Macaca mulatta: one gene and its partner. The protein of the gene in region 1 purifies or fractionates together with the protein of each later gene. This does not show direct contact. Links are inferred from orthologs where the notes say so. Each region holds a gene or a part of one and is shown on either strand. Other genes may lie near its edges.

What was found.
Region 2: the proteins of RPS6KA1 (region 1) and CSNK2B purify together in Homo sapiens (affinity purification with mass spectrometry; 4 studies listed by BioGRID and IntAct, with this or other methods). This does not show direct contact. The link is inferred for Macaca mulatta from reciprocal best matches to the Homo sapiens genes RPS6KA1 and CSNK2B.

The regions. Positions count from the first base shown.
Region 1 is NC_133406.1:214,427,837-214,431,642, forward strand, and holds part of RPS6KA1 (ribosomal protein S6 kinase alpha-1), read right to left. Parts: intron 2,621-3,806; coding exon 2,490-2,620; intron 688-2,489; coding exon 562-687; intron 368-561; coding exon 278-367; intron 1-277. UniProt on the Homo sapiens protein: Serine/threonine-protein kinase that acts downstream of ERK (MAPK1/ERK2 and MAPK3/ERK1) signaling and mediates mitogenic and stress-induced activation of the transcription factors CREB1, ETV1/ER81 and NR4A1/NUR77, regulates translation through RPS6 and EIF4B phosphorylation, and mediates cellular proliferation, survival, and differentiation by modulating mTOR signaling and repressing pro-apoptotic function of BAD and DAPK1.
Region 2 is NC_133409.1:150,652,655-150,656,959, forward strand, and holds the start of CSNK2B (casein kinase II subunit beta), read right to left. Parts: upstream 3,064-4,305; 5' UTR 3,017-3,063; intron 2,434-3,016; 5' UTR 2,423-2,433; coding exon 2,351-2,422; intron 1,403-2,350; coding exon 1,300-1,402; intron 737-1,299; coding exon 621-736; intron 179-620; coding exon 103-178; intron 1-102. UniProt on the Homo sapiens protein: Regulatory subunit of casein kinase II/CK2.

The DNA of each region.
Region 1 (3,806 bases):
GAAGAATGACATGAGCCTTAGGCAGGTATTCTGCTTGCTCTTCAGTGGCCCCGCCTTCCCCAAAAGGAGGATGCTGACACTGGTCCCCTGATAGGCAAGAACGTCCTCAGAAAATGCCTGAGTCTGAAGGAGGGCCCTTGGGGGATGGGCAGACTGGAGGGACCAAGGGACCTCTTTCCCCTCCACATGACCACCGGAAAGAGGATGAGAAGTCAAAGGAATGGCAACCCTGAGACAAATCCTAGAGAGTCGAGTTCCTGGTCCCCACCCCACTCACATCTTTCAGAGTAATGATGTTGGGGTGCTGGCCGTACCGCAGAAGAATCTCAATCTCTTCTGAAGGATCCCGCTTGCTCTTATCAATGACCTGAAGAAAGTGGGTGCATGTGGCAGTGTCAGGGTGACAGGCTCCAGGGTCCTTCCTTGCCATGGAGCAGGCCTGGAGGTCTCGGCCACACAATCTTTCATACATCTGCAGAGCTCAGGCACCACCCCTCCCCACCAGACGGGGACCTGCCCCCGGCCCGGCAGCCTTGGCTGAGACGTGGTCAGGAGGCCCACCTTGACAGCATACTCCATGTTGGTGGCCTTGTGGACACAGCGCTTGCACACAGAGTAGGAGCCCACACCAATCGTCTCCTTTACCACGTAGCCGTCGCTAAAAACCAGGTTCTTCCCATGGAGTTGCTGTAGGAGACCAAAAATTGTGGCTGACCCCTGGCTCCAGAGTGCTAAGGGTCATCTCCCAGCATTCAAGGTCTTGGCTCAGTAGAGACAGCACCGGGGAAGGGCCAGGAGACTTGGCGTAGAGTGTTGGCCATGTGACTGCAGGTGAGAGCCTGCCCCTCTCTGGGCCTCAGTTTTCTACTCTATATGTTGGGCATACTCGCTGGCTCCCAGCCTGCCTGGACTGCAGCCTGTGGTCAGAGGGCAGCGCAGGGAGTGGGCAAGAGGGTCACAACACACATGGAGAGGACTTTAGTTCTGAAAAGCCTGGGCAGGCCTGGGAGGGACGCAGGAGCCCTGAGCTGAGTTCCAGCTGTGCCACTAAGTATGGCTTTGAGTGACTTGCCTCCCCTTTCTGGGGTGTCACAGCTCAACTCAGGGGGTGTCTCAAGGTTCTGGGACATTAGCCATAGCAATGCTGAATGGTGCTTAGTGTGTGCTGCGTGCCAGGCAGTATTCTAAGCACTTTCATCAGGTGACTACATGCCCCACGGCCAGCCCTGGCTTGCGCCTGCGGTCCTTGCATCCAGTCTGATTTAATATTTGTCCTGGATAAAGATGTCCCAGTTTGGAAAATAAATTACATAGTCACCTTAACTTTATTTTTTATTTATTTATTTTTTGAGATAGAGTCTTGCGCTGTTGCTAGGCTGGAGTGCAGTGGTGCATTCTCGGCTCACTGCAACCTCTGCCTCCCGGGTTCAAGCAATTCTCGTGTCTCAGCCTCCCAAGTAGCTGGGACTATAGGCACATGCCAACACGCCCATCAGATTTTTGTAGTTTTAGAGATGGGGTTTCACCATGTCGGCCAGACGGGTCTGTTTAAATTCCTGCCTCAAGCAATCCACCCTCCTCGACCTCCCAAAGTGCTGGCATTACAGGCATGAGCCACTGTGCCCAGCCCACTTTAACTTTACATGTATTAACTCTAATAATCCTCATAATAGCTCTATGGAGGAAGATTCTATCATTTCCCCATTTACAGATAAGGAAACTGAGGCACCAGGAAGGGAAGTATCTCATCTAAAGTCCATTATCTGGTCGGGTGCTCATGTCTGTAATCTCAGCACTTTGGGAGGCTGAGGTGGGTGGATCACTTGAGGTCAGGAGTTTGACACCTAGCCAACATGGTAAAATCCCATCTGTACTAAAAATACAACAACAACAAAATTAGCTGGGTGTGGTGGTGTACATCTGTAGTCCCAGCTATTCGGGAGGCTGAGGCAGGAGAACTGCTTGAACCTGGGAGGTGGAGGCTGCAGTGAGCTGAGATTGTGCCACTGCACTCCAGCCTGGGCAACAGAGCAAGACTATGTCTCAAAAACAAACAAAAAAAACCCCAACGTCCATTATCTTGTGAATCTGGAACCCATGCAATGAGCTGCACAGTCTACATTCTTGCCTCTCAACCTGAAACTTTCATGAGGCAGTGGAAGTGTACAAATGGGGAACAAGTGTGAAGAGATACAAGTTCTTTGCTACCCTTATGCCAGAGACACGACAGTCACTCTGCACCATCACCCTGGGCACCCCCTGGCATGTACCCAGACCCTGCTCTGTGCTGGGAAATGTATAGCCATATCATCATCCAATTATCAGGGCCACAGTGTGAGGTGGGCCTTACTGTCCCTGTTTTATGTTGGAGACCCTACGGGTCCCACAGTGGCACGAGGGTATGAACCCGGTTCTGTCCAACTCAGAGCCTGTATTCACAGCCATTCTTTAGAAAAGGATAACGGAGCAGCAGCCCCTGCCCCCCTCACCTGTACCACCGAGTGCAGGGGTGCCTGCGGGGCGCGAGGCTTGCCGTCGTCCTCCATCAGGCCAGTGGCCACGAAGCTGAAGCCCCGGAACAGCTGATGGGCCCCAGCGCTAGGGGGGATGCCTGGGGAATCTGTAGGGGCAGGAGGGGAATGTGAGGGTACCTGAGGAGGTCCCCTCGACCCTGAGGCAGCCCAGCAAAGGGGGAGCACAGGGCCTGAGACCTGCCTCAGGGGCTGGCCATGGCAGGAGCCTGCAGAGGGCCTGTCCATCCCAGGCCTTAGCCCGACTGCTCATATGTGTTTAGACCAGTCCAGTCCTGATGCATGAGGAACATTAAAGACTCTCACATCCACTTCCATCCCAGGCCAAGACAGTTCGTCCCTTCCTGGATGCTCCCTCCCCAGCTTCTCCGTCTTACATCAGCCCCTTCAGGTCCATCCCTGCACAGTAGCCAAAGGGAAGGTTCCAACCACAAATCTACCACCCTGCCCGCACCTTTCAAAGGTGCCCCTCTGCCTTCAGGAGTAAGCCCAGCTTCTGAGTCTGGCAATGGAGGGCCTTGTGATCCTCCTCTTCTCTCTCCACACCACAGCTGAGCCACGTTGGACTTCCCAGATCCTTAAAGGGGTCTCTGAGCCCTTGCACACACTGTTCCCTTTAACTAGATAATCCATTGCTTGCCTATCCTTCAGGACTCAGCTCACTCGCTCCCTCCTCTGAGAAGCCTTGCCTCATGCTGCTTCTCTGGCCCCTGACTCCTACAAAGCTGCACCTGTCACACTGCCCAGCAGACTGCTTAGAGAACTGCTGTCCCTGTCATCAGAGGTGTGCAAGTACAGTGAGAAAAGCACCCCATCGTGGATCATTTGAGGTTAGGAGTTCCAGACCAGCTTGGCCAACATGGTGAAACCCCGTCTCTACTAAAAATACAAAAATTGGCCGGGCGCGGTGGCTCAAGCCTGTAATCCCAGCACTTTGGGAGGCCGAGACGGGCAGATCACGAGGTCAGGAGATCGAGACCATCCTGGCTAACACGGTGAAACCCCATCTCTACTAAAAAAAAAATACAAAAAACTAGCCGGGCGGGTGGCGGGCGCCTGTAGTCCCAGCTACCAGGGAGGCTGAGGCAGGAGAATGGCGTAAACCCAGGAGGTGGAGCTTGCAGTGAGCCAAGATCCGGCCACTGCACTTCAGCCTGGGCGGCAGAGTGAGACTTCGTCTCAAAAACAAACAAACAAACAAACAAACAAACAAACAAAAATTAGCCAGGCGTGCTGGCACATGCCTGTAATCCCAGCTACTGAGGAGGCTGAGGC
Region 2 (4,305 bases), on another chromosome or scaffold:
TACTTAACCTCCCCTCAGGACTCAGGCCCCAACATGCTGAGCCCTAACTCCTTCCCGTAAGACTGCCACAAGGTGCCTTCCTTTCCCTTCTTCAACACTCACCGATGGGAAGCATTGGCTGGTTCTCACAGTACACACGAGGACAGTAACCAAAGTCTCCCTGCTGGTACTTTTCCAACTGAGGTGAATAAAATGGAAGGGGTTGGCAGGTAGGTGTGAAGAGAAGAGGCAACTCCCTTCTCAGCTCAACCCATATCACTCTGTCCCCCACTCCTCCCACCTCTGTCCAGAGGCCCCTTCTCTGGCCCAGATGGGCTCTCAAACTCCTATGTTGCCTTTCTTCCAGTTAGGCAGGCTACAAACCATCAGAGCCATTTGTTGTTTGTTCCCTGAGGAAGAGGCAGTCTATCACAACTCTCTGTTCAAGGACTGTCTCCCTCCCTGAAAATTATCCCTTCAGGATGACCCCCAATCAGAATTCAATTCCCAGGCCCAAGCCTGGGGTTCTTCTCCTCTTCTCAGCCAGTTTCCTTAAACAAGGCTTAAACATGACTTCTTGCTGCAGGAACCTGTGTCCCTTACTGCTCAGAAGGAGGCAATTAGGAGCAGAGAGGCCTCACCATCTGGGCAATGCCACGGTTGGTAAGGATGTAGCGGGCGTGGATCAATCCATAAAGCATCTCGGCAGCCTGCTCAATCAGGTCACTCTGGTTGGGGTTGTCTTCCAGTTCTTCATCTGAAACACAGCCCGGCCAAATGCAACCACTTGTTTTTCAGCTTTCCTAGGTGCCCTGCCCATATCCAGGGGGTGCGGACTATTCAGTTCGCCTGGCACCTACTTTTGGGCCTTACCCCATCCAACATCTGGGCATGTGACCCAGAAACCTGGGCTTCTGACCCTTGCGCCAACCCAAGACAGCTCTGTCTTCTCTTCACACCTCTTTAGCCTCCGCTCCCCACTCTCCCTCCCAGCTCCCTCCCCAATACATAACTGCAACAATGTCAATGCAAAAGATGAAACTCTAGACTGGAAGGTGCAAAGCAGGAGAAATAGCAAACCAGACCCATGAGGAAACATATTTTGGAAAACATCTGAATTGTGGATTTAGAAAACATGGGAACAAGTGATATACGTCACAAAACTAGACACAGTCAGGTGGAGGATCAAAATAAAGCATGAATTTGGGGTTAAAGAAATCAGAGAACCAAAGGAAATTTCAAAATTCAAGTAAGTGAATATAGATTTGAAGAGAAAAAAAGTGCATGCACACACACAAAACAACCCTGAGGGTGCCTCACCAGGCTCCAGGTCCAAGATCATGTCTAGAGCTTGTCGATAGTGAGGAACCTGCTCATTGAGTCCAGTAAGATTAAATTTGTCCTGAATGTAGTCTTCATCCACCTGTGGGGACATGGAAGCCAAGAGGGAACCCATATCAAAATCCCCATCTTTGACCTGGGCAAAATGCTCTAACTGATGCCTTATCATCAACACAACTGCATCTGTTCCGCTTGTTTCTCACTCCCAACTCAGCAGAAGTACTTGCGTCTCTCCCTAGTTCACCTATACTCCCTCCCATAAAGCTTTGGCTTTTCTTTTCTAAGGATAAGCAGGTACAGCAATCTTTTTCTTAGACATTCTTTTCAAGATCTCTGTCCCTACTCCTGTACTCCATCTCTAGGAACCAGTTTTGTCCTCTCAGCTGGCTGAGGAGGATGGAAGCTGAACGGCATGGTTTCTGAACAAAACATTTCAATACGTAGCATTTCAATTTTCCTAACAGCCAGCTGAGACATGTACTAGCAGTACAACTTTAGTAATAAAAGATACAGGCTGGGCGCAATGGCTTATGCCTGTAATCCCAGCACTTTGGGAGGCTGAGGCGGGCAGATCACCTGAGGTCTGGAGTTTGAGACCAGCCTGGCCAACATGGTGAAACCCTGTCTCTACTAAAAATCCAAAAATTAGCCGGGTGTGGTGGCGGGTACTTGTAATCCCAGCTACTTGGGTGGCTGGAGCAGGAGAATCGCTTGAACCTGGGAGGCAGAGGTCGCAGTGAGCCGAGATCGCACCACTACACTCCAGCCTGGGCGACACAGTGAGACCCAGTCTCAAAAAAAAGATAAAGAAAAAGACACAAATTGCCTGCTGGAGGGTGGCAGAGTCAAAACTTGGGCCCCAGTTTTGCCACTTTAGCACAGGTTCGTCGGGGGTTATTGAGGGGACTCTTCGTTGATGGGAAGTTTTCAAGTAGTATGTAAGAGAACAGTGTAGAAGTGGAATACGTGAAGGAACATCTGGTGGGAAGATATGTGAAGCCAGCAAGTAGGGAGGTCGAAGAGAACTCACTTCACAGAAGAATTCATTGCCACGGAGCCCACAGAACCAGGAAATCCAGGACACCTCCTCTGAGCTGCTCATCTTCACGTCAGCTGAAAAAAAGAGTGTCAGTAAAGCTCAAGTTCTCCTTCCCTGCCTCGGGTATCCTCCCTCCTCCCACATTAGAACCACCCTTTCTTAAAGGATCCCAAACTCTGAAGCACTCCTCTCCAACTCCTCCAATTTACATCTCAGTTCCCTTTTCTTTGACGTTAAACATTCTTTGGGGTCCCACCACTTGAAAGAAGCCAACAGATACTTTGACCCACCAGCCCGACCCACGTCCCTGGAGCTCCCGAAAGCCAGGGCCCTCTCTTCTCTGTGTCAACTCCGGCAGGGACCTCGACTCAGGCTCCGTACCAATGCAAGTCTCTGCACGACCCCGGCGCCTTTCCCAAGGATTTCAAAGTTTATCACTCTCAAGCAAGAATCGGGCCCCTCCTTTTCTCAAGGGTTGGGGGCGACTGTCAGGTCCCTTTCACCGGATTCCACACATCCCCCCTCCGCTCCTCAAGCCACCTCTCCCTCCTTGCCGGACCTGGTTGCTTCCTCCCCCCGCCCCCATATCAAAGTGCGGAGACCCATGTGCGGCTCCCAGCGACAAGCGACTAGGAGCAGCGAAGACCTCAGACTCACCAGCTGGACGGGGACCAGGACTGGGGTGGGGTAGGGAAGTTGCTACTTCGAAGGAACGGCGGCGACCGCTACAGCGCAGGCCGCGGACCCGACCGCGGCAGGCGAAGTGGGGTGGGGGGAGTGGAAATTGGGGAGGGTGGGGAAGAGGGCAACACGCAAGCGCCAAGGGTCAGGTGCCGCGGTGGATGCCGGGACGCGGAGTCCCCGGTAGAGAGAGAAACCGGCTAAGTGAGGGAAAGCGAACTACCAATCCCAGGATGACCCGCGCACGACCTGGCTGTCACGAATCCCCGGAGGAGGACGCTTGCGGGCGGGGCGCAACGAGAAGCCACCGGAAGCGGAAACCAGGTATGGCGTTCGGGGCCTGGGAGCCTGGGCAATACAGTTGTGTGCTCACTGGGCGAAGAAGCTGACTTAGGGCGGGGAAAGGAGGGAGCCAGGCTGGACCCCTCCTCGCAGCTCTCCTCACAGTTGCCCTCTAGTCCCGGCGCGGTGCTGCTTCCCTGGGGACTGGCCTATCCTTGGCCAATGCGCTGGGTCCTTATTGCCTGTTGGGCCCCTAGTGCGAGTCAGTCCCGCCAGAGACCCTTGACGGGCCTTCTGTTTTACTCCGGGCTCCGGCCTCATGAGGCGAGAGGTGCGGCTTGGCTCCGTGCGTAGGGACTTGGGTTGGGAGGGCTGGGCTGGGCTGGGCTGTGTGAGAACCAGAACGGCCCAGTGCGCTAACCTGAGGTGGTGCCAGCCATTCTGCTCGTCCCCTTGCACTTCTCCATTTCCCCTTAGTCTCTAAGTGTGACCTTCGAACCCTGGTCAGAGTAATGGTGAGGGGCAGGCGTGACGTTATTTCATTACACGGCTTCTCGGCATTCCACAGGTTTCCCTCCGCCTCCTGAGGGCCTTTCCTAACCCAGAGAGTGGATTCCTAGCTCCAGAAAATGGGCTTGGAGCGGGGGCCACGTAGAGGAAGGCGAAGGGCATTGTGGGGGCGTTATGTAAAAGTAGGACCCCAACCGACAGATCCTAGCGCTCGCGCCACCTGGGCGCGCGGAGCTTTGCTCGTTTACTATTGGAAAAGTTCCAGCGCGGGAAACTGAACCGGGAGCTTTGCGCACGCCTGAGCCATCAAGTAATGTGGGTGGTGGTTTTTGTTGTTGTTGTCGCCACGCATGCGTCTCCGTGCCGTGTGGCTATTTGATTGTGTCAACTCTGCTGATCAGAATAGCGCCATTTTGCGGTACGGAAGCTACACGGCAACACGTATAGGAGCCTCTCCCCGAGATCTTCTAGGG